Anolis sagrei: one gene and its partner. The protein of the gene in region 2 purifies or fractionates together with the protein of the main gene of each other region. This does not show direct contact. Links are inferred from orthologs where the notes say so. Each region holds a gene or a part of one and is shown on either strand. Other genes may lie near its edges.

Evidence for each region.
Region 1: the proteins of E3 SUMO-protein ligase RanBP2 (region 2) and BICD2 purify together in Homo sapiens (affinity purification with western blotting; 3 studies listed by BioGRID and IntAct, with this or other methods). This does not show direct contact. The link is inferred for Anolis sagrei from reciprocal best matches to the Homo sapiens genes RANBP2 and BICD2.

What each region holds. Positions count from the first base shown.
Region 1 is NC_090022.1:61,123,975-61,139,586, reverse strand, and holds the start of BICD2 (protein bicaudal D homolog 2), read right to left. Parts: upstream 5,953-15,612; 5' UTR 5,472-5,952; coding exon 5,232-5,471; intron 1-5,231. UniProt on the Homo sapiens protein: Acts as an adapter protein linking the dynein motor complex to various cargos and converts dynein from a non-processive to a highly processive motor in the presence of dynactin.
Region 2 is NC_090023.1:107,217,256-107,233,436, reverse strand, and holds the start of E3 SUMO-protein ligase RanBP2, read right to left. Parts: upstream 5,787-16,181; 5' UTR 5,610-5,786; coding exon 5,535-5,609; intron 2,162-5,534; coding exon 2,094-2,161; intron 505-2,093; coding exon 393-504; intron 1-392. Other genes in the region: LIMS1 (LIM and senescent cell antigen-like-containing domain protein 1), read right to left, coding at 12,877-13,024, 13,900-13,975, 16,177-16,181. UniProt on the Homo sapiens protein: E3 SUMO-protein ligase which facilitates SUMO1 and SUMO2 conjugation by UBE2I. Involved in transport factor (Ran-GTP, karyopherin)-mediated protein import via the F-G repeat-containing domain which acts as a docking site for substrates.

The DNA of each region.
Region 1 (15,612 bases), on a different chromosome or scaffold from region 2:
TAAGCCACAGAAATGCCTTTCATCTGTGCTTATGTTGCTGATTGTTGCAGTTGTCACATTTGCACATGGCACAGAAGAGGAGGGACACAGAACAGTGAGCACAAAGGCATCACACTGCTGTTCAAACACACCATTTGTAAGGCCTGCTCCAGGCGATGGACATCACTCCATAGATACGTCTTCCCAGAAACTAAGATAGATTTGGATTTAAAGAAGACCTTGAAAAATAATTAATAGTGACCTCCTAAAACTCTTTTGATTAAACGGTGAGGATAATATTAAGCACCTTGGTTGAGAACAGGCTTCATTAACAAACCGTGCCATCATAAAGACTTGCACTATTTAATTAAACATTTTTCCTCTGTTAAGTAAATACTGAAGTTGGGCCTGCATTATTGTTCCAATGGCTAGCAAATTTGTAATGTTTTATGCCACCTTAAAAAACCAGCTTCTCTTGTGTCCATTAAATGTATTTATTTATTTATGTACCATATTTATAGCCGGCCTTTCTCAACCCCGTAGGGGACTCAATGCGCCTTACATATATAGACAACAATTCAATGCCATGTAAACATACATATATAATAAAATAAACATATACATTAAAATAGTCATTAAAAACATATCAAACCTTAAAACACTTATTAAAAATCACAATATCCAAAATCATAATCCATGGCCATTCCAGATTGTCATTGCACTATTCCGTATTCTCTAATGGGTTACTAACCAAATGCTTGATCCCACATCCACATTTTTAGCTTTTTCCTGAAGGTGAGGAGGGAGGGAGCTGATCTGATTTCATTTGGGAGGGCCACCACTGCGAAGCCCCTGCCTGTCATCCCTACCAGTCGCGCCTGCAAAGGAGGTGGGACCGAGAGCAGGGTCTCCCCAGATGATCTTAACCTTCTAGCTGGCTCATAGAGGGAGATACATTCAGGCAGGATCCCACAGGTAAATCGGGCTGGAACGTTTAGGGTTTTATAGTCTAAAGCCAGAAATTTGAATTGTGCTTGATAGCAGACTGGCAGCCACTGGAGCTGACATAACAAAGAAGTTGTATGCTCTCCATACCCCACTCCGGTGAGAAATCTGCTTGCTGCCTGTTGGACTACTTGAAGCTTCAAGAGCAACCCCAAGTACAGCATGTTTCAGTAGTCTATTCCCGATGTAACCAGAGTGTGGAGCACTGTGGCCAAGTCTGACTTCCCAAGATACGGGCGCAACTGGCACACAAGTTTTAATTGTGCAAAAGCTCCCCTGGCCATTGCTTAATCCTGGGGTTCTAGGCTCAGCAATGAGTCCAGGATCACTCCCAAACTGCGAAACTGTGGGGGGAGTGTAACCCCATCCAGCACAAGCTGTAACTCTACACCCTCTTCGGCCTTACGACTGACCAGGAGTTCCTCTGTCTTGTCTGAATTCAATTTCAATTTGTTTGCCCTCATCCAGACTGTCACAGCTGCCAAGCGACAGTTCTGCTGTTTGCAATTAAACAGCTTCAAATCAAAACCAAAGAGAGGGCTTCCATGTTTTAGTTTATCCTTTTATTTAATTTAATATAATAAAATAAACTTTATTTATACCCTGCCACCATCTCCCAGAGGTGCAAACACATAAAGTACAAAAATTGCAGAAACAATAACATCAAACAATAACAACCAACGTGAATATCTCACTACACAAAACCCATTGGATAAAATCAGTAAAATTCAGAAATTCAGCTGCAGGTATATGAGTGATAAAAACAAAACAAAAATGAGAGGTTAAAAACCTAGAAAAGCAAAAATCAGGTGATGTGCTCTAAGTAAGTCACCTGATCAAACCTACCCAAATAAAGAGAGACCATAGCTACTCATTCTTCTATTATAGCACACATTGTGGGACAGGGAAAAATGGATGATTATGTTGGTAAGGGAAATATTCATAATAAATTAATTTACCTGTGCAAAACTGTGGTCATAAGACCTATTCAACGAAAACCAAATACTTCATAGTCACGAGCACACAATGGCTGTTTTGGACTCTTTCTTCAAAAGAAAAGTCCTGAACATAGTTGAAATAATATCTCAAACTCTTAGGCAGGTGTACACTTTCCAGAATCCAGAGTAACAATTGAAATGGTTTTTACACCACTGGGAGAAGTTAAAGTTATTGCCTTCCGAGCTTCCATGAACTTCCATGAGTTTGTTCTGTTGCTTTCAATAAACTGTTCATCTATTTGCATTAACACTGCAACCTCCCAGCAGACAAAACTGCCCCGAGGAACCCTTAATTATTAGCTGTTTGAAAATGCATACTCATTTCTCTGGTTAAGCAAATATGCCTCCCACACTCTCCAAATATCAGTAATTGTGCATCTGAAGACACAATGCAGCAGGCAATTAAATAATGTAATTTAGACCTAAGTAGCTAATTCCATCGAGCCAACCTGAAATAGGCCAGGAAGGGGACAGTTCTTGTAGATGCCTGTACCAGATTTCAATCAATAACTTGATTATTAACCTCAGTACTTTGGTTGAATAAACAGTGTAGGAATAATGCTGTTTTACGCCATTTTAAATGCATGGCTCAATGCGATGGAATCCCGGAAGCTGTAGTTTTACAAGGTATTTTAGCTGCCTCTCGCCAAACTACCAATCCCAAGATCCCATAGTAATGAGCCATGGCCATTAAAGTGGTGTTAAACTACATTCATTCTATAGTGTAGAGGCATCTTTAGTGGCAATGCATCAACTGAGTGGATGAAGTTTGACTCCACTTTAATTTCCATGACTCAATGCTAATGAATCCTGGAAGCTGTAGCTTGGTGAGAGACCAGCACTCTTAGGCAGAGAAGGCTCAAGACCTGTAAAACTACAGCTCCAATGATCTCATAGCATTGAGCCATGGAAATTAAAGTGGTGTCTGATTGCATTCATTCTACAGTATAGATGCACCCTATCTACTGTCCTGGCCATTTCCCTGCAGTGTGGAGGAAAGCTGCAGATGTCATGGGACCGGCACGGTGCATTAAGGGAATACACTGAGCTGCCCCTTTAAGGGAATGGCAAGGCACTGCGCCAGCAGAAACAAGGAAGGCCAAGGCGCCTTTCTCCTGTGACTTTATTGCCAATGTGCAAACCTAGGGAAGGTGGGCAAGGAGTCGCTTCCTTTCCACATCACACACATTCACACCAATATTAATGGGTTTTCATCTTAGACCTATGTCTTTGAATATATGTGTGTGTGTGTGTGTGTTTCAATGGCCTAATATTTTTGTGAATTTGAACTGACGTTTTATTAGTAGGAATTGTGATTTCAGTGTGTTTTAATCTCAGGTCTATGTCTTTGAATATATGTGTTTTAATAGCCTTGTTTTTATCTATGGAGAGGTCGGTAACAAATTAATTATTATTATTCGCCATCATCACCAGCCAAGTGCACAGTCCGACTGCCTGGCCAGAATCCCCAGGGGATTTCCAACCACTGGCCTATACTCCCCACACACACACTGTATGTCTCTGGCATGTGCAAGGGGGTCCCTATGTCTTTCCTACAAAACAACCCTGCCATACACACTCTAAATTCCAGGCTGCTCTAACCACTGTGGCTAGTGCTTCCCACCCACCCCCTGGCATGCTATACATCTCCAGCATATTCAATTCCAGCCTGACCTGATCCACACTGGCTCATGCTATAGATCTCCTGCAGGAATGCCCTGTCTTGCAAAAAAAACAAACCCAACAACATTACATTCCAACCAGCCCACCCCAAGGGCCCAGAATAAAGGAAAACAAGAAGGCCTGGCCTTCCTCCACACCAGCTGCTACTTAGAAACATGTGTGTCTGTGTGTGAGTGTTCACTCAATTCCTGGCTGGCAGGACTCTTCCAGGCTGGCAGAGCTGTAAGCATTAGCCCATGTTCCCCCCTGCAATCTGTATCTCTCCAGCATGCATACATATTTCCTGCCTTGCAACCCACTCATCATTCCACTTCCAGGGCCCAGAGGACAAGTAGGCTTTCCTCCCCTCTTCTTCACTCTCTTTCTCTCCCCCTGCTCCTATTCTTCCTTCACCTCTTCCTCTACTCTGCCTTTTCCTTCCTCTCAACTTTCTACTCCTCCCCCTCTTCTTCCTCTCTCTCACCCAATACTTCTTCCTCTTCCTTTTCACCTCATTCTCTTCCTCTACTTCCTCCTCCCTTCCTCTTCCTCACCCCCTTCTTCCTGCCCCTCCCTTTCTTCCTTGTCTTTCCCTCCGTCCTCCTCTCTTTTCTTCCTATTTCTCCTCTTTCCCCCAGCACTTTTTCTTCCTCCCCCTCCTCCTTCTCTTGCTCCTGCCCCTTCTTCCTCCCCTTTCTCCTCTTCTTCTTGTCCTTTCTTCTTTTTCCTTCTCCTCCTCATTCTCTTCCTCTTCTTCCTCCTCCTTGGCTTCCTCCTGACCCTTCTTCTCCCTCCCCCTTTCTTTTCTTCCTCCCCCTCTTCTTGCCCTTCTCTTTCTTCTTCCTCCTCCTCTTCTTATGGTTCCCTTTCTTCTTCTTCCTTCTCCTCAATCTCTTTCTCTTTCCCCTCGCCTTGCTCCTGACTCTTCTGCCTCACCCTGTCTCCTCCTCCTCCTTGGCCTTCCCTTTCTTCTTCTTCCCTCTCCTCCTCCCCTCTTCTTCCTCTCCCTCTCCTTGCTCCTGCCCCTTCTTCTTCCTCCCCTTTTCTTCTCTTCTTCCTCCCTCCTTTCTCCTCTTCCTCATTCACCACTTCATCCTCCTTATCTTCCACCCCTTCGCCTTGCTCCTGTCCCATGTTCCTCCTCCCCCTTTCTTCTCTTCTTCCTCCTCCTCCTCTTGTCCTTCCATTTCTTCTTCTTCCTTCTCCTCATTCGCTTCCTCTTCGCTCCTGTTTATCCCCCTCCCCTTGCTCCTGAGCCTTCTTCTTCCTCTTTTTCCTCTCCCTCCTTCCTCCTCTTCTCCCCCACCTCTTCATCCTCCTCTATTCTTCCTCCCTTCCTCTTCCTCCTCCCCTATCTTTTCTTCCTCCCTTTCTCCTGTTCTTCCTCCCCGCTCTTCTTGTCCTTCTCCTCCTCTTCCTCCTCCCCTTGCTCCTCTCCCCCTTCTTCTTCCTCCTGCTTCTTCCTCCCTTCCTCTTTCTCCCCCCATCTCCCCCCCCCCTTTCTTCTTCCTCCCTTCCCTTTCTTCTTCCTCCTTTCTTCCTCCCTCCCTTCCCTTCCCTTCCCTCCCTTCCCTTCCCTTCCCTCACCTCCTTGAGCTGCTCCATCTCCCCGCGGGCGGTCTCGTACTCGAGCTCAAGCTCCTCGTACTGCTGCTTGAGCTGCTGCTTCTCCTCCAGCACGGCCAGCCCGTACTCGGCCGCCTGGATCTTCTCGCGGGTGGTCTCGCCCAGCTCCTGGAAGAGGCGCTTGACCTCCGCGCGGAGCCACTCCGGGCCCGACTCCCGCACCAGCCTCGCGTACTCCTCCTCGTCCGGCAACGCCGACATCTTCGCCCAAGCAGAGCTGCCCTCAGCGGCAAGCAGCGGCGGCGGCGCTCTCCACCAGCGGGGGAGGGAATGCGGCGCAGGCAGAGCGAGACGGAGCCCGCGCTGGCCACATAGACCAAAATAGGGATGCGTGTGCGTGTGTGTGTGATTTTCTGCAGGCTTCAAAGCCGCGCCAGTCTTCGTGCGGCCATGGCTCCTTTTCCTCTAGCCCTCCTCGCCCAGGCTGCCATTCAAGGGATCGAGTGGATTTCCTGGCTGGCCCGCGGGATCCTCAGAGCATGATTGCGGCGCCTGCCTGCCTGCCCGCTTCCTTCCCTTGCTGCGGCGCTTCTCGCTGGGAATGGAAACCGCAGTGAAATCATTCAAAAGGAACGGCCAGGCGCTGGCCCCGCGGCATTGTAGGAGTTGTAGTCCGCCGCTCCTTAGCGGGCGAGCTTATCCCGAGGCCTCGGAACTACCCTTCCCACAATGCACAGCGAGGGAGGCCAGCCGCAGCCGATGGGAGCCGGCCCTGCCCTCTTGAAGGAATTCTTGGGAGGAGAGGAAGGAGCTGGCGGCGCAGCGCTGCGGGGGCGAGAGCGGCGTCGCCGGATGAGGCTCCGAACAGCGACCCCTGCAGGCCGCGCGCGGGAAGTGCGGCCACACTTGGCTCTCAGCCTGAACGAGGGTCCGCCTCGCAGCTGATTGGGGCTTTCCCTTCATTATTGTCACCATCGTCAAAATCACCATTTTCATCATAATCGCCATCACCATCATTATCCTAGAGACACCAGAGGCACTCCCAAGTGGCCAGCGTCTGGCCAAAGGAAATTTAGCAAAATCCCAAGTTTTCAACTTTGTGGGGTTTTTTATAACTATATTCTCAATTCTCTTCTGACATGATAAATAAATAAATAATCTTATGTATTTGTATTCTGCTTTTCTCCCAAAACAGGGAGCCAGAGTGGCTCACCATCTGAATAGCTATACAATTTACAAATCTTACAAAATGCAAATATTAGAACTATACAAAAAAACGTTGAGTCCCCCTCAGGATGAGAAAAGCAGTATATAAATACTGTAAATAAATAAAATATGATTATATTGCATTATGATTTTACAAATTAAGCCCTAGAACATCATGTTTTATAACAAATTGACAGAAAAAGCAGTTCAATACACAGTAACATTATGTAGTAATTACTATATGAATTCAGCACCAAAATAGACAAGGGTTCTTTCTTTCTCCGTGGATCTGAGCGGGAGGCAGATTGTGTTGGATAATACAGAACACTGGCTGAACAAAGATTGGATAAGCGAGACTCTACTGTAGTGAAAGGGTGAAGGCATTGACATCTCTGGCCCATTCTCTATTCAGATATCAGCCAGCAAACCAATGCTTGGTGAGGTAGAAAGCAATGGGGAAAGAAGAAGACCACATTCCAAGTGGTGTGATTCAATCAAGAAAGCCATGACCCTGAGTCTTGAAGACCTGAGCAGGGCTAAATGAACATTGGGTGGCTTAGGGGTCTCTCATTTATAGGGTTGACTTGATGAAAAGAAATAGGGTTGACCAGGCATGTAGCCAGGGGGGGGGGCTTGGGGGGCTTCAGCCCCCCCCCCGAAATTTTCATGGTGGTTCGCGAAAAGGCCTTATTGGTGCATTATTTAAACTGTTATGTTTATTCCTATCATGATCTGATCACCATACTCAATATATCCCATATGCATGGGGGTATTGGGGTAATGATACAAAAGGTTTGCTAGGCTAGACCCTCTTTCACTCAGACTCAGCCCCCCCCCCCAAAACTCAGCCCCCCCCCGAAACCCCCCCTGAAAAAAAATTCAGCCCCCCCCGAAACGAAATCCTGGCTACGGGCCTGGGGTTGACTTGATGGAAGTCAAGGTGACTCAAGGCTACCCCTCTATTCTGCTTTGGTTAGACCACATCTGGAATATTGTGTCCAATTCTGGGCACCACAATTCAAGAGAGATATTGACAAGCTGGAATGTGTCCAGAGGAGGGCAACTAAAATGATCAAGGGTCTGGAGAACAAGCCCTATGAGGAGCGGCTTAAGGAGCTGGGCATGTTTAGCCTGAAGAAGAGAAGGCTGAGAGGGGATATGATAGCCATGTATAATATGTGAGAGGAAGCCACAGGGAGGAGGGAGCAAGCTTGTTTTCTGCTTCCCTGGAGACTAGGACGCGGAACAATGGCTTCAAACTACAAGAGAGGAGATTCCATCTGAACATGAGGAAGAACTTCCTGACTGTGAGAGCCGTTCAGCAGTGGAACTCTCTGCCCCGGAGTGTGGTGGAGGCTCCTTCTTTGGAAGCTTTTAAACAGAGGCTGGATGGCCATCTGTCAGGGGTGATTTGAATGCAATATTCCTGCTTCTTGGCAGGGGGTTGGACCGGATGGCCCATGAGGTCTCTTCCAACTCTGATTCTATGATTCTATGATTCTATAGAGCATTCTGAATACCACTCACTAAAAAGCAAATTATAGGATTCCATGGGATGCTGTCATGGCAGTTTAAGCATAATTGTGCTATTACCGTGCAGTGTGAGCAGGCCTTAGGACATGTTTCCCCTTTCATCTATATCAATATACTAAATCAATCAAGACAGTACATGAGGCAATAAATTCCTCCTTTGCCTACATCTCCTACATCTTGAAGTAAAATGAAAAATTATAACAAATAAATACCTTGTCATACCACACTGTTATAGTGCTATTATCCCACTTTAACTACCATGGGAACATCCTGTAGAATTCTTAGTTTTACCTCTGTTTATGTATTGTCTGTCCTTGTCAATTGTATGATAGCGTTGAATGCTTGCTGTATATGCATTCTGTAATCCTTCCTGAGTCCCCTTGGGGAGATAGGGCAGAAAATAAATAAAGCATATTATTCATATTAGTAGTAGTAGTAATAGTAGTAGCAGTATTGGAGCCCCCTGAAGACCGACAGGTCAGAGATTTGAATCCAGGAAGAGCACAGATGAGCTCCCTCTGTCAGCTCCAGCTCCCCATGCGGAAACATGAGAGAAGCCCCCCAACAGGATGGTAAAACATCCAAACATCTGGGCATCCTCTGGGCAACGCCCGCACAGACAGCCAATTCTCTCACACTGGAAGCAACAGTTTCTCAATTTGCTCCTGACACGATAAGAAACTATTATTAGTGAGGCCCAAAAGCTTGCTGAATACCCAAATTGTAAATACTAGGATTCCATAAGATGTTGAAATGACAGTTACAGTGGAAAGATAGTGCTATAACAGTGTAGTGTGATAGGACCCTCGATGATCAATGCACTTTTATGATACCCCAGATCTGTTGTCTTGAGACAGACATCTCACTGTGTTAAATGAAAAGAACAGTACCGCTCCTTCCTCACCCCAAGGAATTGCAACAGTCTCTCTGTTAATCTAACAAAACAGCATGGAAATGCATTATTACAGTTTTATTATTTTAAGGAAGACGTTGTTGCTAAGGTGGAGAGCCACTAAGGTGATGCTAAGGACTGGGCAATGATGACTCACCTTCCATCTTTTCCCCAATCACTTCTGGGTTTGCCCAGTGGGAATAAGCAGCTTTGTCTCAGAGATTCCCCAGCAGGGTACCAATATAAGAGAAGGAAACCCAGCAGGTCGTGGAGCTGAAAAAGGATTTGGAGCTGGGTTTCCCACGTCATGGAAACCCTACTTTAATGCTCCAAACTTGTCCTAGATTCCATTCAAAGTGCCATCTCTGTGCTTGGCCTTTCAAAAAGCTTATTACAAAGTCTGTGGCCAAAAGCTTCCTGAGTAAATTTAATCATGGAAAAAGAGAAAGAGATCTTCTGAATCCATAAAGTGGCTATAGAACTGGAAAACATTTGAGAGCTCTCACAGTGGCATTATATAATAGCCCTAAAATTCAGGATTATTTTTTTAAGGAGTACTTCAAATTTCCTCCTGGAATCACCCATTTTTCAGAAGCTAATGTAATTCACCATGTTACTTTTCATCATAAATAAATGGTAGCAAATTCAGAAGGCAAACCAAAAACAATTACCCGTCCTGCACACACCTGGGGATTAAACCACGCAGTACTTGCCCTGCCTACTGCCAAAGGGCTTTATAAAACACTTTCATCTTCTACCTTTCAGTCATGTTGATCCAACCTGGCATGCTTAAAGCATCAGCATTTATTAAGAGGACATTTAAGTTCACCTGTAGAATCATGCACTGTATCTGCAATCTGAGCATTTCATGTTGTGTGCACGGTGAGGCTGGATTTACCACGTGAAAAAAAAAACTGCAATGACACACTAAATTCTTCACTGTTATAAAACTTTCCGGAAACAAAAATATAAAAGTTTGATGTAATCAGCTATTTTTCTTCCCTCATTCTGAAATTAAATTTAATTGCATCAAGCATGAAAATATTCACATGTTCTTGAACACCCAGCATGTATTCAGTTTTTCCTTCAATTCATGTTAGGCCACGTGGCTTGAATTTAATTGAACTCCTAGTGGCGTTTGGTCTATTAGCTCATGTGGTTTACTGGTAACATAGTTAAGTGATTTTAGACCTTGAATTGAGTGGTCTAAGTAAATGAAAGAGGAGGAGCTTTCAATGTCCATGTTTAACATTTCAGAAAAAAACCCAAACATTTGTCTTTTGCACCTCTTTCTGCCACTTCATGCTTTACAAATGGTGCATTCTTCATATTTTTAGAGCAAAACAAAAATGACAGTTTGGCACTCCCTGTTTCTAAAAAGCAGTCTGAGCATTATTATTATTATTATTATTATTATTATTAACTTTATTTATACCCACCTTTTGCCCAGTGGGGGCTCAAGGTAGCTAACAATCCCACAGCTAGTCAAGTTTAAAAAGCACAGTACAAAAGTTTTAGAACATGAGCATGTGCAGAAACTGATCATTATTGAAGATTCATATGTTGTTGGTTGATGTTTGCTTTGATATTTGGTAATGATGTTATTTTTATTTTGTTTTTATATTTTAACTATGTTGATTGAGCTCATCCCCATGTAAGCCACCCCTTTGGGGAAATTGAGTCCCTTTGGGGAAATGGAGGCAGGGTACAAAAATAAAGTTATTATTACTGTTAAATGTTAAGCTCACTTCTATCATAATAGTAATAAAATGGAGTTCAATTTATTTCAGATGACCCTGATACTAAATGTATTGACAAACACTATTTTGTTAGATTCACAGAATCTTTGAGCTGGGATAGACCACAAGAGTCATATAGTCTAAACCCTTGGCATATGGGAAGACATAGCTCAAGCACTCCTAAAAGATGCCCTTCCAAGATGTTTAAGGACCTCCAAAAACGGAGAGTCCACCATCTTCCAAGGCAGTCTGTTCCATCGTTGAACAGCTCTCACAGTAAAAAATGTCCTTCCTAATGTTTAGATGGAATCTCTTTTTCTTCTTATTGAAATCTATTGCTTCATATTCTAGTTCCTGGAACAACCGAAACAAGTTCTCACCTTCTATATGATCTCCTTCAGATATTTAAAAATGGCAATCCTATCATTTCTCCAAGATGGACACAGTAGAGAATTATTAATTGGATTATCTCCCTGAGGCACAGTCTCCTAGAGGAAGGTGCCCCCATGCAATTCTCTCACTCCTGTTCCTTGTAGAAAGAAGTATTGTAATATATATTTCATGTAAAATCTAACCATGTATATTTTTGGCTTCTCACTCCATGGTTTTAAAATGTTTTATAAATGAGCAAGGAAGGATACTTCGGCATCAGTCCTGTCTGGACCAAGCAGATGCTGATGCCAAGCCTCTTTCTCATTACTCCCCACAACTGCTGCCATCTAAGTTTGTGATGGAGAGAGGACATTTATTGCAGGGTCCCAAAGTGCAGCTCTGGCTGCATCATTAAATTTTATGTAAATCTTCATCAAAAGGGACTGTGCAATGCTGCAGTTTTGGAAGGCTGGGGACTAAACAGGCTTAGACATTCTTGTTACCCAGATAAGGAAATGGCCAATGCATTCCCCTCTGAACAGCTCCTCAAATAAACAATTGACATTCCTCTAGGTTCCTGTACTGTATGCAATTCCAGGCCTCTCCAAGGGTTCTTTTTGTGCTGGAGACTGACACATGTTACACATTGGTGGTAAATGATGCAGCAGATGGTACACTTCAGAGAAACATTCATGGCATTTCATTGAAGGGCTCCAGCATGTTCCCACAGCTGATGGTAGAACTGGGCCCCAAACAAATTCTACCCACTTATCCCTTGGCTGGTAATCAAATTTCCCATTGCTTAGAATACAGTATGTCAGACTCCCCTAGTCTGGGGAAAATACTTTATCCTGAAGTTAATTGAAGATGGGCTCTTTGGAGTTATATAGTGCAGAAGCAAGTAACAAAAAGGGAAGAGCTCAAGCATGACCCATCTCCCTGCTAATAGCTATGAGAACTGTATAAGTGGTTCAGCAATAGAGGGGGAAATCATTTCTCCAGTTCATTCTCAGCTTTCATTGCTGTTTTCAACCTCAAACTGCAAAGTAAATGGAAAAAATATTCCAACAAGATTATTGCTGCAAGTTAACTTTTTATGCCCCTAGACTGCTGTTAACTTCTAGCTGAAGTGTAAAGATTGCATATACCTGGCTTTGGCAATATATCTTGAGAAGGAGGAAATTGGTAATCCAGGAAACAAACATGCTATGCCCAGGGAACCCGTGACGCTGTTCCAGGAAGAAATTCAGGAGAAACTGAAGCTGAATGGACTTCAGTCTCGCCTCAATTTCCAAACAAACAGGTAACAATGGCAGTCTCTAAATCTACAGTTTTATTCTAATAGCCCAAAGCCAGATTTTGGAAATTGAAAAAAGCTTACAGGACCATTTAGTTAGCACATTTCAAAGCTCAGACCAAGCAAAGTACCTGGCTAAAATGAATCAAGAGACTACAACTCTCAAGAGCATATACATTTGGATGTTGTGGATAATCAGTGACCTACCCTACTGTAGAGATTACAGCTGTAATATTACCCCCCACCTCCAGCAAGATGTATTAAAATACAGACATACATAATTAACAATGGCTCTTTCCAATAAATATCATATTAAAAAAAGATTATTATGCCTGCTGAGCTCTCCGTTTTTGTCTCCATCCTCTGTTTAGTTAGAAAAGTTTTAGATCATTGGCATTGGGAGGAAGGTGAATAAAGGCCGGAGAAATGCAGACTTTTGTGCCTGGCTGCAGCATAATATCTATAATAAACAATCCCCCAAAATCTTGGGCTGGGAAAGAATGGGATTCTATCCTAGCCAATCCTAATATAGCTTTGTGACCCTGGCCAAAGTAAGCAGCAGCTGCCTCTTGAATCCCTTACTGAGCATGTATGAACATGAAAAGGAAGAGAGAGGAAGAGAACAGAGAAGGCAGCCTCACCAGGTCCCGTCCCCATCCCCTCAACATAGGTTTTTAAAGCATACATTTAGAACTTTCACTACCAAAATCAAAATCTTAAGAAAAGTGAATGCTTGTGGAAGAAAAAAAAATTACATGGTGTATTTTGGATGAAGACTTGGGGTTGTCTTTAGAAAGGTGAAAAAGTTTGTATTTACATGTGCAAGGCTTACCAAATCTGGTAGTTTCATTTCCATGTGTAGAGTTAGTTTTGAATTAAACGATTGTTTGAATATGTTGAACTGCTTTTCTTTTTGTAGTGTAAGAACCCATCCCCATTCCTTACATGTTTTTCTGCTTCTGCTACTACATTTTCTGTTAAAGAAACAAAGGCTCAGGATATATCTCTTTCATAGATTATAGTATAGCTGTACAAACATCTTACAAAAACAGGTGAAATCATAGAAGTATCCTCCCTTCTAGTGAATGTGATCTGTCAATTCAGTCTCCGTAATCATGGTGAATATTAATAATTAAAAATAAACTAGCAGAAAGGGTAAATTGCAACATGCTCATTAGCTGATGAGTTGAGTGGGGAACAGATCTAGGTAATGACTAAAAGAAGGTGGGGAATGTGTGGTCTTCCAGATGTTGGAATGCATCTCCATATTGTACTAGTGAGTGAGCATGAGAAATGCAATCCAGTAACATCTGGAGGACCACATACTCTTCTTTCTTGGTCTAACGACTCTCCTGAGATGAGTTAAGATAAAAGCAAAGCCTGCCTTGGTATATAAGCTGAAAAGATGTGTGCCTCCCAAGATTTCATTAGTTTGTCAATGTCTCTGGTCTAGAAAAGCATAAGGCAGGTTTCTGTAAAGAGTTTCCAGACATTATTAAACTGAATGGAAGATTCCCTTCTTCATGACCAACACCCAGTCTTTAATTTTGACAGGGGGAAGTGGCACTCATAACTAATTGGAAACCACACCTCTAATCTAAATACCATCAATGGAAATGAGATCTGCACATGCTTAGAGACCCACTCCTCTCTAATGATGAATGAGATAAATGGCAGGCAATGTAATAGGCTGTTTTATGGGAAAGGAGAGGATATGAACTCTAGGAAGGCAGGGTAGAGGCAGCAAATCTAATCTCACTGCATCTTGATGCACTCACCATCAGCTGAAACCAGGCCACCAAGTGTCAAGGACCAAAGATGAATTTGCATGCCTGTACTATTCACAGAAGCTATATGAGCAGAATGTACCAAAAAGAGTTTCAATTTGTTATTTACACTAGGACTAAACAAAGCAATCCTATGTTGCCTTTTGGCTCCCCAAGACCAGATCACTCGCTTTCTGACCAAGAAAAGTGTATGAGAGAAAATTGCCTCTCCTGGAACCTTCAAAGAATGAAAATCCATATCTTAAATAGGCATAGGGTCTCTTAGACTGTTCAATATATAACAAAACAAGAATTGGGTTTCTGTCCACTGGGGCATTTTTGGTTTCAGTATGGCCACAAAGAACCACAAGAGCACAAAACTCTGGACTCACCATCAGCTGAAGCCAAGCTACCAAATGTATAGTGCACATTCACATGAAACAATAAAAAAGAAAGATTAACTTTAAAATGGTAGAAGCACAAAGCTGTGAGAAGGAAACCCATTTGAGGCAACAAAATGTATGTTGGCCAGTGTAACAACAAGGCAAAACTTGCACATTCACATTCACATGGAACAATAAAAATGGTAGAAGCACAAAGTTGTGGCAAGGATACACAAAGCAAAAAGGCAGTAGCATCTTTCTGTACTCATCATACTGTACTCATTCCAGCCTCCTTCCCTTTCTTTCTCTCTCCTGCTTTCTTCATGAAACCAAACATAATAGGAGTAAAAACCACACAAACTAATTTCTGCAAAAGCAACAGCAATCTCCCAAAGTGGACAAGAGCACAAGGCTAAAGCCCCATACTCATGTGCTAGTGCTCCTTCTCACACTAGCCCTTAATGCAAAGTGCTGCTTGTGTGTCAAGGTGAAACCAGGGCTGAGCAAGGCTTTTAAATTGGATGTTCATAAGTTGAGATTCCACTGTATTTTTTGAGGAATTCTGAATTTTCTACCTCTTACCTGTATCACTGAATGGCTGTTCCAAAAGGTACACTAGGGGATTCTAAGTACCTTGCCAAGACAAGAAAGCCAGGATTCTATAGGTATCAAAGCACCATAATTGTGCAGAAGAGAAACAAGGTGATACCAGAATCTGACAGAACCCATAGATTTTGATGTCATTTCAGTTTGTCCTGATAAGGAAAGCACAATCGTGCCAGTAGTCTTGACACACAATAAGCCCTCTCTACACTGAAATACTTGCTGCTGCAGCATCTCTTCCCACAATACGGTAATTCTTCTCTCCTTTGTATTGCATTGGCACAACAGTCGGGAACACCACATTCTGAATTCTTACTTGTGGACTCATGTAGCCACAAGCTGAGGAGTATATCTCCCTAGGTTACATCCAAACAAGGGCTTTGCAAAAGCTAGAAAGATTTGCTATTGAACAACACATCCAGTTACAGCAAAGTGCTGAATGTTTAACTTTTAGAAACTCAGTGGTGAAAATAATTTTTGATCTTTTGTCTTTCCTATCAGATTTTATTTACTTCATTCTGATTGCCTTTACACTAATCTATCTTAACATAGCTCAGTTGAGAAGCAACCATCACAGCTTGCTTTGAAGAGACCAGGGATAAAATGTTGCA
Region 2 (16,181 bases):
TGAGTCGTCTTCGGGCTTGAGATACAGCGGTATATAAGCAAAGTAAATAAATAAATAAATAAATAAATAAGGCCGTGATTTACATACTGCTTTGTATCTCCCCTCTCTCTTTTTTATGATTGGCTGCCTCTCTCCCGAGGGGGGGGGGAGAAACCCCCTTCCACACTCCAAATAGCAAAATAGCGAGTCCACAAAAAACGAACCATGAAGTAGCGAGGGAACACTGTAGTTTCAGACTCAGTTTTAGTGTAGTCATGCTGTTACACCTTTTTAGAAATTATTTTCTAACACTCTAAATTGTATTTCAAAATAAATACTGAGTATATTTCAGTAAGAATCTTAACCACACATCTAGCATCCATGTAACACAAACAATGTCAGTAATTTCTCACCTTGTAACAACCTACAGCTTTCTCTATGTTATCTTCCGCTTCATAGAGTTGTCCCAAGAATTTGTGTGCCTTGGGATCTCTTTCTTGGACACCAAGGTATGTAGATATGTACCTTTGCAGAAACAGCATAGCAAGTTAACATGCAGGCAGTTAATGACTGATGATAATAATCATTATGTAGTTATAATTAAAAGAGAATCAGGAGCACCAACTTTCATGTATACTAGGCTTGGTTGATCCAGTTCGTTAATTTCTTAATTCGTTATTAATTTGTTAAATAATTGTGCTTGGCCTCCAATTTGTTAAATAATTACCTTTAGAAGCGATATCGACGCGTTTTGGCAACCCGGAAGTGTTTTTGCCATATCGAAGCCGCGCCCCCATCTTCCTTACGACTTCCACCAGTGAATCGTAAATGCTGGGGGCGTGGCCTTTAGGAACAGCTGTTTTTACCCACGCTCACCTCCTTCCTCTTTGCATCGGCAGCTTTGCGAGGTGCGCATGACTACCTCCCTGGCGACAAGCGGCGATGCGGAACAGCTGGGAGCAGCCACACCCACCTTGCAAAGCCGCCGATGCAAATAGGAAGGAGGTGGGAATGGCCAAGCGCAGCGCTCCTCGCTCAGAGGTCGCTGGGGGCGAGGCCTCCAAGGAGTGCTGTCCTTGGCCACGCCCACATCTCCCTTGGACAGCTTGCCAGAGAGGAGAAAGAAATGTGAGAGATTTAAAAACCAACACTTTTGAAATCTCTCACCTTTCTTTCTCTTCCCTGGCAAGCTGTCCAAGGGAGAGGTGGGCGTGGACAAGCACAGCGCTCCTCACTTGGAGGTCGCTGGGGGCGAGGTCTCCGAGGAGGGCTGTGCTTGGCCACGCCCACCTCTCCCTTCTGCCGCAAGGGAAGGAAGGGAAACTGCGAGATTTAAATGGTTCTGGAGGGAGGGAAGGGCACCTTCCATTAATGAAACAAAGGAAACAATTTGTATTTCCTGGTAATTTCGATCTTTTTTTAAAGAAAATTTCGGAAATACTTTAAAAATCGAACCTCCAGCATACGAAACGAGTTTAGAACCATTTTTTTCTTGATCAACCAAGCCTAATGTATACTGTTTTAAAGTTTCACTGCACATTGTTAAGGAATATCCAGCATTTGTTCTGTACACTATAGAAACATACATGAGAAATGCAAGAGTTACTATAAGCATATTACACATATACTATATACACTCATGTATAAGTCAACTTCACATATAAGTTGAGGGAAGGTTTTGGGGCAAAATTACAGATTGTGACGTGACCTGTCAATAAGTCGAGGGTCATTCTGTGGAGAAGGAAACATTTTCTCACGCAAACATTCAAAAGGCCAGAAGCAGTCGCTGCTACAAAGGAGAGAGTTAAGGAGGCAAATACTTTTTAAAAGTTCTCCTGATATGTACTAAGTTCTTACTTTTTTGCCACACTCTCAGAAAAGGGGATCGTTCCTTTTTTATAAGAGTTAAGAGACAGTACTTACAGTGACTCAAGGATAAGACAATCTAGATATTCTGATTGATTTCTGTACTAAGATTTCAAGACTTATACATGAGTACTTGTCACACACTAAACTGGAAATCAAAGATCTCTAAACAGAAGATGCTCAAAACCTAGAAAAAAACCATTCTGAAACACAGCACACAAGAGCAAGTTACTTCAGAGATCTTTTACCTTTTAGCAAGTTCATATTCCTTTGCTTCGTAGTAGAGCTTGGCAAAAAAGAATCCTTTCATGGATTTCTAAGAGAAAAATGTAGGTTTTTAAAAAAATGCCTAACATCAGTTATTTATAGCTTGAATCTTGTAATGGGATGGATTTTTAAATGCAATGGTTCAAACTAGTCCACATTGTCAACAGTTTGAAAGTCATTGTTCCTTGTTTTTACTAACACGTGGCCAAGATTTTCTTAGCAACTGCTTAATGACCCATCTCTGAAAATATGTCAATTCACACAGAACAAAAAAAGAGCATGTCAACGTTTTTCCAGACCCAGATATTCATTTCTGAAATGATTATTCATTCCATGTTGGCAATATAAAATACCTTACGTTCACAAGCACCTGAAACATTCTGAAGTCCTGCCACATATATTTGTTCTTGTTACAACCCATTAAAGTAAATGATGACAGGGATGTCGAGAACAAGTGTTTCAAGGGTGATAGGGTGGCTATTTAAAAGCACTAAATATTTCTGTAAACTTTGAGATACAAACTAGTCACTCCAGAAAACCACTTTTCAGATGTATCAAAAAGTTCCTCCCTCAACAACAAAAATGTAGATCGCTAGGTGTTCCAAGGTAAAGAATGTTGTGTCAAATGTTGTGTAACTGAAGCTATACTAGCCCATCATTTCAACCTAAATTGGAAGTTAAGGAAAAGCTACTGGGGTGTTTTTTTTAACGATTATGAAAAAGGTCACAGATGTCTCATTCTAGCCCTTTTATAACAGAGAAAAGCGAACATAGATCTCTCAGAAATGCAGTACACTGTATTTCTGAGAGATACTATTTAAGTCGATACCGATTGGTATTGGTTTAAATAGTTTTAAAAGTTACAAATAGTTCTTTTGTGGTTGCAAAATTACGTGTCACATTCAATTCTTAACACATGCAACATTTTTATGATTTACTGCAAGTCATCCTGAGCAACCGTTGGCCATAAATGTTTATTTCATATTATATGGCCAGAGAGACTTGAACTGGGATATCCTACTTACTATAGACCTGTCTTATCTCCTGCTAAATCTGAAGATCCAGTTAGCATCTCCCTTTTTAATGGCATCTTGAGAACCACATAAACGGACCACTACCTAGGTAGGACACTTTAAGTTATTGCCAATGGAGACAAACATTAGATTTTGCAGAATTGATGAATTCTGCATGCTGAATGGTGATTTATCAGAACCCAAGTTGAGAATATAATATTGTTTCTCATTTTCTAGACAGGAAAAAAATTAAAGATTTTTGTGTCACAGAGAAGAATGTGAATTTGCAAAACTCTGTTCTGATAATAGAGTGGAGTAGTGCATGCAAAAAATATAAGAGGAACCTGTCTATCTCTTTTTTTGATGTGCTACCTTCTACTTTAAGAGCAGGGATCTGTGCAATCAGATATTCTGTTGGCCCAACATAGGTTTTTTTTTTTGCATTAGTTTAAAATTCAACACAGTACGAGATGTGTATCCACATTCCTGGACTTCACTTGGACACATGGAGCCACAGTAATAGCGAATCTTATTGAAATGATGGGTATTTGGCTCAAGAATACCATAAACTCATGCTAAGGGATCTAGAAAATACCTGGAGAGGACATATTTTGCCAGACATGGGTAAATAAAACTGCCGGTGCAAGCGCCATGGATAAGGGACACTGTAAATAGATACTAAGTAATGTTTCGTGTGTTCAAGGTTGGCAATCATTAAACTGGATTTTCAGACAAGTGAAAACAATGGAAGGCTTTCCATATTGGAAGAAATCATCTTACTACCTGTAACTTGTTGCTCTGGGGCAACATGGTCAAATAATATCATTTTTTAAAATTAACACATCAAACATCATTTTTTGTTATTAGGAGTAATATTTACTTGTTACGTTTTTTGGAGTGGTCCACTGGTGATTTAGAAAGGATGTGGGCCAGTTTATCAATTTTAAAGGGTTAAAAAACAACAAGGAGTGTTAGAACCAATACTTTGAACAATGGTGATTAATCCATTCAACAATCCATTCAACAAAACCCTTAAACAACAATGAACAGAATACTTGCTACTAACAACTAGAATCAAAAGTTAAATTTAAATAAAGCAACTAATTTGCCTCTTCGGTCCCTTGCAAAGTAGACAAGAATTCAGTATGGAAAAGCCATTAAATTATTTACAGTGAGAACTTGCAAAACAGAAATTTTCAAACATCATAATTTCTATAAGCTTTTAATTATCATACATGGGTTCTAATTAAATGTGTTTGAGGAAAAGAAACATATGATTTAAGAGCAGACAACTGGAGGCCAATCTAACAAGCGCACAGATATTTGCACGTGAGCAACGTTCACAATATTGAGAAGCGAACAGCAACCTATGTTGCATTGCCTTGAGGCTGTTGTAGATTTGATGTTGTTTTAATAGAATACTTTAAAAGCTGACATAGGAAGTGAAAGGTCAACAAAATAGCTAGGGTTGAGTTTGGAGAATGTACAATCCACCCTACACATTAGTGGGGTTCACTTTATGGATCTGACTATTTGCAGATTTTATTATTGCCTTTACCAGAAACTCTGAGATCTCCAGTGTGACTCTATGGTAACTTCTGCCAGAGTTTGACTGCAGAGATGTAACAGAGAATGGCTTCTTAAACCTTTTTCACTTGAGAAACTTTTATATTACCCCAGGTATATAAAATGGGTATAAGAAACAAAGATTTATTGATAGCAAATCAGCATTTGCAAAATTTGTGAAACAGGCTATTTTTCTTTTGGTGGAATACAGATGAAGCGTTTTTTGCAGAGCCCACTGTAAACAGTACACACTGTTAACAGATTTGTGTAAATGGTGGCATTCAGACACACATTTTCTATGATTCCAACACTGAGGTACAGCGACTCCTTTAGGGTTGGGATCCTGAGTTTAAGAAGCAGTGTGCTCAAGGGCCTAGAAATTCCTAGAGAGCATACCTCTCTAGAAATCTCCAATCCTCCTGTACTTTGGCAGTGTTTGGCAGGGAAGTCTAAAGGCCTTGTCAAACTACAGGTCCCAGGATTCCATAGCATTGGAGCTATGGCTGTTAATAGTGGTGTAAATGCAACTCAAGAGCGTTCCCGCCAATTACACAAAAAGTGTTGGCAAACAGGAGCAAAGGGGAAGCCACACCACGGGGGCCCAGCCCGGCTTCCTCCTCCTTTCCCTCCTTCCGAGAGAGGCGCATTTACGCGCGAGTGTGCGGTAGGGGCCCGGCGCGCGCCGAAGCCCATTGGAGAACGCCTTCAAAAGCGAACGTTGTGCGCACCAATCAGCGGCCTCCTGCGAACCCTTGACGGGAATAGCGCTGAGCCGGGCACCCTTCCCTGAGACAGACGCCCCCACCCAGCCAGCCAGCCAGCCCTCCGCACTCCGCCACTCACCTCTCTGGGAGAAGACGCCGAGGCCTGTAGCGAGGTCACGTAACGGTCGACTTCGGCCCTGTTGCGCCTCATCATGGTGGCGTGCGGCCCTCACAGAGCGCCCTGGCGCCGCCAGAAAGGAGGAGGAGGGTGGGGAGCCCCGCAGAGCCGGCCTCGTAGCTTCCCCTCTCGAAGAACGATGATGATAATGACGCCACCACGAGCGTCAGTACGCGCGGGCCTCAATACACGTCTGTTACGTCAGCGGCGCGACGGAAATGACGGGCAGCGGTGGAGCGGAAGCGCCTAGAAGGCGCGCTTCCTTCATAGTATCGAGGAAGGGGTGTGGCCTATCGATTTTGCGCCCATAGAGATAAATAAATAGGGATGCACTCACTTCGCGTAGGGAGAAACCTTCCGAGTTCCGTTAGACATATTAAGGGTCCCTTATCCCAAAGTGAATGGGGTCAGAAGTTTGGGATTCCGGGTTTTTGGATACCAGTCAAGTCTGTAGCCAGAATTTTGATTCGGGGGTGGGGTGGGGGGGGTGAGGATCTACCCTAGCAAACCTTTTGTATCGTTATCCCAATGTTGTTGTTCATTCTTTCAGTCGTCTCCGACTCTTCGTGACCTCATGGACTAGCCCACGCCAGAGCTCCCTGTCGGCCGTCACCACCCCCAGCTCCTTCAAGGTCAGTCCAGTCACTTCAAGGATGCCATCCATCCATCTTGCCCTTGGTCGGCCCCTCTTCCTTTTGCCTTCCACTTTCCCCAGCATAATTGTCTTCTCTAGGCTTTCCTGTCTCCTCATGATGTGGCCAAAGTACTTCAACTTTGTCTCTATCTCCTTCCCTCCAGTGAGCAGTCGGGCTTTATTTCCTGGAGGATGGACTGGTTGGATCTTCTCGCAGTCCAAGGCACTCTCAGAACTTTCCTCCAACACCACAGCTCAAAAGCATCGATCTTCCTTCGCTCAGCCTTCCCTAAGGTCCAGCTCTCACATCCGTAGGTGACTACAGGGAATACCATGGCTTTGACTAAGCGGATCTTTGTTGCCAGTCTGATGTCTCTACTCTTTACTATTTTATCGAGACTGGACATTGCTCTCCTCCCAAGAAGTAAGCGACTTCTGATTTCCTGGCCACAGTCTGCATCTGCAGTGATCTTTGCGCCTAGAAATACAAAGTCTGTCACGGCCTCCACGTTTTCTCCCTCTATTTTCCAGTTGTCAATCATTCTTGTTGCCATAATCTTGTTTTTTTTTATGTTTAGCTGCAACCCAGCTTTTGCTCTTTCTTCTTTCACCTTGATTAGAAGGCTCCTCAGCTCCTCCTCGCTTTCGGCCATCAGAGTGGTGTCATCTTCCCATCTTCCAATGGCATACCAACATATCTCTGGTTGTACTGGTCCATTTAGTTTTTTTGGCAAGGATACTGGGGTGGTTTGCCGTTGCCTTCCCCAGGGATCACGCTTGGTCTGCCCTCTCTGCCACGACCGTCCCGTCTTGGGTGGCCCTTCACGGTTTCGCTCATGACATCATTGAGGTGCTCAAGCTCCAGCGCCACAACAAGGCGGTGACCCTTTGCTGGAGCGTTATCCCAATACCTCCATGCATATGGGATATATTGAGCATGGTGATCAGATGATATGAATAAACATAGGTAAAGGTAAAGGTTTTCCCCTGACATGAAGTCCAGTTGTGTCCGAATCTGTGGTGTGGTGCTCATCTCCATTTCTAAGCCGAAGAGCCGGCGTTGTCCGTAGACACTTCCAAGGTCATGTGGCCAGCATGACTGCATGGAGCACCGTTATGTTATGAATAAACATAACTAGTGTACCAGTAAGACCACCCTGAAGCAAGCCTGTAGCTGGGGGGGGGGGGCTCGGGGGGGGCTCGGGGGGCTTCAGCGAAAAGGCCTTACTGGTGCATTATTTAAACTGTTATGTTTATTCATATCATGATCTGATCACCATACTCAATATATCCCATATGCATGGGGGTATTGGGGTAATAATACAAAAGGGTAGAGGGTAGACCCTCTTTCACTCAGACTCAGCCCCCCTGAAAAAAATTCAGCCCCCCCCCCCCCCCCCCGAAACGAAATCCTGGCTACGGGCCTGCCCTGAAGCCCCTCAACCCCCCCCCCCACATGCCTGAACCAGTATTTGCATATAATGGCATATTTTGAAAATGAGACCCAAGTCTAAATGCGAAATTTGTTAATGTTTCATATCTGATTCACATAGCTTGAGGGTCGCTTTATACAAATTATTTAAATTCTTTGAGTGTATGAAAACACATACACATAGGGTGTATAATTAATGAAGCATGACAGAACCTTAACTATGCTACAGAATCGGGGGAACTGTTGCACAGAGTCCTGGCGCCTCACCAAATACAATTCCCATGATTGCATGCCATGGCAGCTAAACCGGTGTCAAACTGCATTAATTCTACAATGTAGATGCACCCGTAAGACAGACCAACAAAAAAAAAGTATTGTAACTTCGTTTTTTGGCCTGTTTCTGGGATTATTTGGGGCATTGATTCAGAAAATGGCATTGGATAGAACACATCAGCTCTAGTTTCTTAGATATGGTTACCATGATTTCTCATAGGCGAGCAGATGAAGGCTGATATATAGCATGTGTTCTGTATCTCAAAAACTTGAGCTGAGAGGGGGAAACTGATGCCAGTTTTTGAATCAGCAGGCCAAATATGTCCTGAAACAGGCCTAACATTTGAGGCATCAAAATGTGTGTTGGCTAGTGTTATCATTAACCCAAGAATGATGAATTTCCAAATAAAGTAAGAACTTGGTCTCACCTCTGATCACCACAAAGCGGTCTTCGGTTTTATACCATCACAACTTTATTTTCGGTAGATTCTTGACCCAAGGTATGTTCTGTTATTATTGAGATTGGGCGTTGAGGAGCTTACAAAGCTTGTGGGTACATTTCAGAGCCTGTGATTGAGGGATTTTTTTTATTGTGTGGGTACATTACAGAGCCCATGACAGGGATTTTTTTTATCGTGTCAGGAGTGACTTGAGAAACTGCAAGTCGCTTCTGGTGTGAGAGAATTGGCCGTCTGCAAGAACATTGCCTAAAGGACACTGAGAAATTTATATCTGGGGATTGACATTACCAAGGCCACTGGTGAAATAGGTCATCCAGACTATTGCTGTTTCCCTGACTGTCAAGGAAACAGCATAATATGTAGTAGAAGAGTTAATAGCATAGTTTGGGAGTTTTGGGGATAGGTATAATTTTGGAACCAAGATTTATGATATGAATGCTTAGACCCAGTTCTAAACAGGGAGGCAGGGAGGTGGAGCGACAGCAGAACCAAGCACAGCGTCCAAAGATGCTGGAAGATGGGAAAGCCCATCTATACGTCTATCTGTTGCCTGTCTTGTCATTGTTATAATTGGCACTGAATGTTTGCCATATATATGTTTTCTATGATCCACCCTTAGTCCCCTTCAGGGTGAGAAGGGCAGAATAAAAATATTGTAACTAAATACATATTTAAAATGTTTTTATACACAGTATTGCTATTATTATACCACCACATCATTTTTGGATACTGTTTCTATTGTGATGATGGTGATATGATGATGACAATAATAATGATAATAATTTTATTTCTTATCTGCCTCTCCTGATGGACCTTGATGAACCATCAGGTCAGCATAATTATAAATTTGAAACTAATTTATGAATGAGATTTGTCATTCCTTTGTAATTTTGTAGCAAAATCAAATTTATGACAATACAATCCTACATGTTTATTCCCACTGAGTTCAGCTTTGAAATCCTATATACAATTATTTGGAAGTAAATTCCATGAACACTTTGGTCTTGGGACTTATTCCTACGGTAATTTGGGGCTCTGATTCAGAAAATGGCATTGGATAGACCGCAATACAAAGAGCAAAAAGCTACTATACACCAAAAGTAATACTGTTATATAATCATAAGGATGTATAGCATATCTATGCTATGGTACTCCAGCATTCAATGTACTAAGCAAAGTATATTTAACAAAGATACATAATGTAAATCTCTAAACCAAAAATTCCTTATGTGGGATAAACAACTGATTCCTGCAGGAAAATGCACAAGGTTGTGAGTTGGATAGACCGCACCATCTCTGGTTTCTTAGATATGGTCATCATGATTAATGGGCAAGAAGATAAAGACTGGTATATGGCATATATGGAGGACTGTAGTTACTTATATGTAATCTCTAGCCAGCAAAGAAAGAAGCTGAAATAATTATATTTTATTAACCAATTAACACACAACACTCTCAGTTGGAATCTGTACACGTTCAGATTTTTATTTTGTGTACTATTCTGGAATAAGTGAATTGAGAAAATAAAAAGGAAATTAGCTTTGAAAATTATCTTTTATCATTAAAAATATTGACATTGAAAAGGCTGAGTATATGCCATATCATTTGAAAGGCCTTGGCATGAATGGACTGCATAAAAATACAAGGTAACGGTATATAGCTATTTTGGCTAATATTGCATACATATGGCAGAATAAGGCACAAGAAGGAAATGAAATACAAAAGCACACAGGAATATGTATCTGTTATACAGAAAAATTCCCATAATATTCAAGTAGCTCTGTGTTTATATATATTTTAGATACACAGGACTCTGTTGCCATTTTCTGGGTTGATTTGCCATCTTCAAATGATGCATTCTGGAGTCATTGTGTTCCAATTATGTGAGAACTGCAGTCTCCGCTCTTGTGTATACTAGTCAGTTAAAAAGTTATTAATCTCTGCAAAGAGTTGGCAAATAAGGCTTCTTTAAAATTCATATCCAAGGTGTTAAAAATCTTAGGATCTCCAAAATTCAGATATATTGAATTCTTTCCAATAAACTTTAAAAAGGCCTCCTTTTAGAACACGAACTTGTCTTTTCCACTGCTGGAAGTTTTGGTGTTCTAACACTTTTGCTTTTAAAGAAGGAATTCTAAGCAGGCAGCAACTGGAATGGGCATATTAAAATAATGCACCTTTTTCTGCTGAAAATTCAGCAGCAAATACTTTTTTGGGTTTCAAGGTTTTGAAAATTGAGATGCTTATTATATTCAATAGCGCATTAGATGATTAAATATGGTAGTTGTTGATTCCCATTAGTTCACAAACAATAAATTGTATAACCAGAACTAATTTTTCAAAAAATCTCATAACTGTTCTCAAAAATGTTAACATTAAAACTGGCCAGTTCAGAACACATTGCTTAGTATGCTTAGCAGTTAGAAGCATTCCTAAGTTGTCATTTACAGCAGAACAGCCCTGTTAGAATACACTCAACTTTTAATATTGAATAGAAGAGTGTTTAAAACAAATGCATATATATGTACTGATAAGCAATCATTTGGCCATGATTCAATTAATATTTTGTTGGCACTGAACAGGGCACTCCTTGAGATAAACCTATGACTAACCACCAAATAATTGTCTATAAGATTCCAGTCCCAAATGAAGCATACTCTCCTGCTAGGATCCAATGATAGGTTGGTTTCTGGTAAGAGGATTTAGTCAGGTTCATATGGTAACTGCTTCAATGTATCACCAAACTTCCTTGAGCCCATTTTCAGAGATCAAAAGAAGAAAGTTATGTCATACTGACAGTCGGGAGCCAGCATAATGCTGGATGTATTTCTACTTCATTTTGGTTCTGCTACATTTTTCTCCAGCTGACAATAATTAGACAAATATCGTTGGAATTCAGTTTATAATGATTTGGTCTTTTTGTCAAGGGAAATCTTATACTTCATTCCCAGTGTCCACTATTTTTTTCATCCACTATCTGCTAAGCAAATACAAGGGATGTATGTTTTTATATATCTATAAAGCCATATAAGATACATTATTTAAATGGTTGAATATGAGCTTGCTTAAGATGAAAAGCATGGTTATGGAACATGTGGCTTCTATATATTTCTAGACTGTAAACACCTTAATATTTGCAATGATCACTAAGACTGATGGCTGTAGCAATCCAATTACATATGGAGAGCCACATGTTTCCAAACCTTAACATGAAAGTGTTTTAGAGGTATATTTTCAAAGTGAGGCAAATGTATTAGTGTATAGCTAGACATGCTGAGGAATACTTTTCTTCTGAGTTAATGTTTGATAGACTCAACAAAAGTAAGTCTGTTTACATCAATACAATTTCCTACATGTTGCATAGCAAGAGGAGGTCTAGAAGCAGAGGGTTTCACTTTCTTCCCAAAGTTTCAGCCAATTTCTTTAGTCTCTTCTTGAGTTCCAGTGGGAACTTCTCATAGCACTTCTTACAGACAGGCTTCATATCAAATTCCACAAACTTGTTTCTGGAAAGGAAAAATAGGTGTCTTAACAGATACAAATAAAATCCATACATGTATACAATTAGCTAACAATAAATTAAAACTAATCTCTACAATTCAGTATAAATTACACTACTGTCGTTTTTGGAAGTTTATAAACATAAAGACATTGTTATTAGTGCACAAATGCCTCCCAAATTGCTGAAAAATACATGTCGACGTGGTCTTTTAGTTCCCAGCAATTTGTTTTGAGATGTCTCTTTTAAAATGAGCACATTTATGCTAACATCTACTGTTTTGTCAAGAGAGATGTGGAGATCAGGATCTGAAATTGGGATCTTTTGGGATCCTGTTGTTCTGTTAGAAAAGGTGATCCATTTTCCCTTCTGCAGTTCCGCTTACACCCTGAAATATATTTTGGTACCAAGAGAGCTGCAGGGAAGAGGAGGAAACCACAACTTATAATGGCATTGGATATTGAAATATACTATTAGACCGTGACCAGTAATTTTTGCAACAGGCAAATCCAAGCATTACTACTCCAAAAGTATAATGCAGCCACTGCATCTTTTCCTTCTTAACTGGTTTTTCTCTGGAAAGCAAAACAGACTGAAAAAACTGGGAAAACAAAGGAAGCTATAACTGAAAGGTGATGACGTTGGATTCCCTTAAAAGTCTATGAACAAGGCAATCAAATTTAACAAGGCAAACCTCTCTGGAAATTTCTCACATTCCTGCTTGAAGTTGTGATTGAACTCTTTGAGATATATATATATATATATATATATATATATATATACACACACACACACACACACACACACACACACACACAAGTACTACCATGCATGCAGGATGCATCCCATACCTTACTCCTCTAAAATGCCTTTAGATATTGAGAATGAAACTTTATTTTGATCACATTTGCATGCACACCACAACATCTAAAAGAAAAGCTTTTCCTTCAAACTGACCAAAAGAAAGGAAGGAGCAGAGAAAGTAGAAGACAGGAATGAAATGTTTACAGGCAAACTGGCTTTTTCTTTTTATGTTTGTCCTTTTCCTTTTGTTCACGCTCCCGTTTGGCAAGTCTCCGCTTAAACTCTTCTGGCATTTTCTCATAACAGTGTTTGCACACAGGTTTAAGATCGATTTCAACAAACTTGTCCCTTTCAGATAAAGCAAAGAAGAAACAGTTGGGAGAACAGGAAAGCATCAAGAGTCAAGTCAAGTAGAAGAACAGAATTCAGCAGAAAACAGAAATGAAGTGAAAACAGCAAATATAGTAATGGGAAATGATTCCTGCCCTTTGCCTGACACTGAAACATGGCTTTGTTACCACAGAACAGGAAAGCCATCAATTGCTTTCCTATGCATGTACACTGCTAATGTTCATAAACACAGCTTCATGTGCTACATTGGCATAAAACGTATGCTATATACACTTCAAATGCATAATGAATGAAACACTCTTACAACCCCTACTTGCATATACTGTGGAAAATGAAAAGTGGCAGTGGCCAAATGTAAAATAGGCTAGGGGAAAAAGAGAGTGCACATCTTTTTGTATTATACAAAACATATATATATGGTGTACCAATTTTGGAGTGTGTACACAGCATATAGTCTTTAATTCTACTTAAGTCGGAGCTTCCTTCTTCCAAATGTGGATCTTAACGGAATTCATGGTAGTGTGTAATCATCTTGAAGCTGTGACCCCATACTGCTTATATTAGTCTATATAAAGGCATAAAAGCAATAGGATACAGACGTTATTTAAAGTTCTGTACTAGATTGTTCTGGATTGGAGTGAAGGATGTAAACTGGTCATCCTGCTGAACAAGCAACCAATGTCTGCTTCAAAAAGGGCAAGCCTTTATTGTGTGCTGGGGTGGAATCAGGCAGCCCTTCAAATATTGTGGGACCACAAGTTCCATCAAGCCTAGCTAGCATAAAGCAATGGAAAGGAATACTGGAAAATGCAGTCCAACAGCCGTTCCCAGAAGCATCACATTATCCTTCAGAATCACAAACAATTACTTACTTGAGCGTTAACTTTGTGTTGCAAGTAGAACATGCAAAGCAGTTCACACACCAAGCCTTATTCAAGGCAGAAACCACTATGAAAAAAAGAGAAGTAACAGGATTAGCTAGACGCCATTGCTAACAGCAGTTGTTTACTTTTACCATTATTATGTCACAGCATATATTATCATAGTAATATCTCAAAAGTCAGATACAATTTTTTCCAAATCATTGTACATTGCTTGAAACAAGATCTGCACAAAAATTTAACAGCAGAATTTTTGGTTTTGGTACCATGCTTAACACTTATAATATTTACACAATTTCAGCTCTTTCCCACCTTGTGTGGATATTGAAGCTATGGCCCAAACTTTCTAACCACTTCCATTCTCTGGATCGCAGATTAGCCAAGCAGCAGGTGGCTGGAAAGCTGCCATTAATTGTCCACAATCCAACAGAATGAAAGAAAATTAGTGGGATTTTGGTAGTAATAATGGATAGCATGCACCAGCCTGTCATAGTGAGTGATGTTGCTGTTTCTGCATTCTGTATGTACAGTAACTCTGCTCCAGTCATGAAGTGGGCCTGCCATGGACACATAAATTGTCTGGATTATGGAGTACAGTTGCCAATGCATAAAAGAACTCTAGTGTCTTAATGATGGGATTTTACATTTTAATTTTCTACAGCAGAAATGAGCAAATCGTTCTTGTTTTGTGTACCCAATCATCATCACTGTACTGTTTTTCTGGCAAAAATTGTGAATTGCCTCTCATACAAGCTTCCAAATGTGGCGATTCTCTTTTTAAAATTGGACAGAGTCTTCCTCAACACTAGCTGAGATTACAAAGACAATCTGAATTTTTCACAACCAAAACTAAATTTCTAACCACTAAACTTCTGACCATCATATATAAACCTCACTTGCTTAGTTTCTAACAGACCTCACAACCTCTGAGGATGCCTGCTATAGATGTGGGCAAAACGTCAGGAGATAATGCTTCTGGAACATGGCCATACAACCCGGAAAACTCGCAGCAATCCTCTGACCATTTGTTGTGGTGGTTATTGTTTAGGCATTTCAGCTAGACACTGAGGTCACTAAAATTTGGCTGCTAGACCCACCTTTAGCTGATCTTTCCTATTATTTAATGTGTCAATGCAAGTACTATGTCCATATGGCAGCAGTATTCAGACTGTAACCTTGACACCATCTTACTATAATAATTATTAAAAGCTTTAACATGGAATCTCAAGGGTTGTGTACAATAAAATAATTTCCCGGGGGAAATCAGGGCTTCAACTTCCCTCCTTGCCTTCAGGAGGAAGGTAAAGACATGGCTCTGGGACCAGGCCTTTGGGCACCCTGACAATTAGACATGGAACCAGAATTATAGGACCAACAATGTGTGGAAAGTAGAACCTAACTATGAGTCGGTTAAACGCTGACCAGCAATGAGGTTTGTATTGCTTTTATTGTTTTAATTGTTTTTACGGGTTTATGGCTATTCCTGCCGATAATATTGATTGTTTACGTTAATTGTTATCAGTGTTATAATTATTGTTGTTATTGATGTTATGTTTTTGATGTTATGTTTTTGTAATACAGGCATCGAATTGTGCCTTGTTTGTGTAAGCCGCCCTGAGTCCCCCCGGGTGAGAAGGGCGGAGTATAAGCAACCGTAATAAATAAATAAATAAATTAAAATACCTGCAGATTAAAATAATATATTTTTTAAAAACCTAAAAACATAGTAAAGCAAAAATTAAAATCACTTTATATGCTTTTAAATTCGTAATTTAAAATAAATTAATCCCCATTGCAAAAGCCAGGTTTTGGCTTGGTGCCAGAAAGAGAACAACTTTTGCGCCATTTGGACAGCCAAAGGAAGTTCCTTCCATAATTGGGTTGCCAGAGTTGACAAGGCCCTCCTCCAAATTTTCCACCTTTGGAAGGGACACAGAAGGATACAGATAGGCATTACATGTTTCATTCCCCCTCCTAATTTTCAATGTTCTACAAAAACTTATAGCTTGGGTAGAACTGCAAGTCTTGAACCTGACAGCCTGGATTGGCAATCAGGGTATCACTGCTCTAAAATAAAGGTGTGAGATAAATGATCATAACTATTCCAGGTTAGTTTTACCACCATCAATATTTTGAGATATCTAATTTTTGAAATAAGCTTTACCAGCTCTTTATGGTTCCATACAAGAAACATTTCCTTTCTTAGACATCCTTTGTAAAGTGCTTTTTTACTGAAAAGATGAAACAAGAATATCTATGGGAACTCACCATCT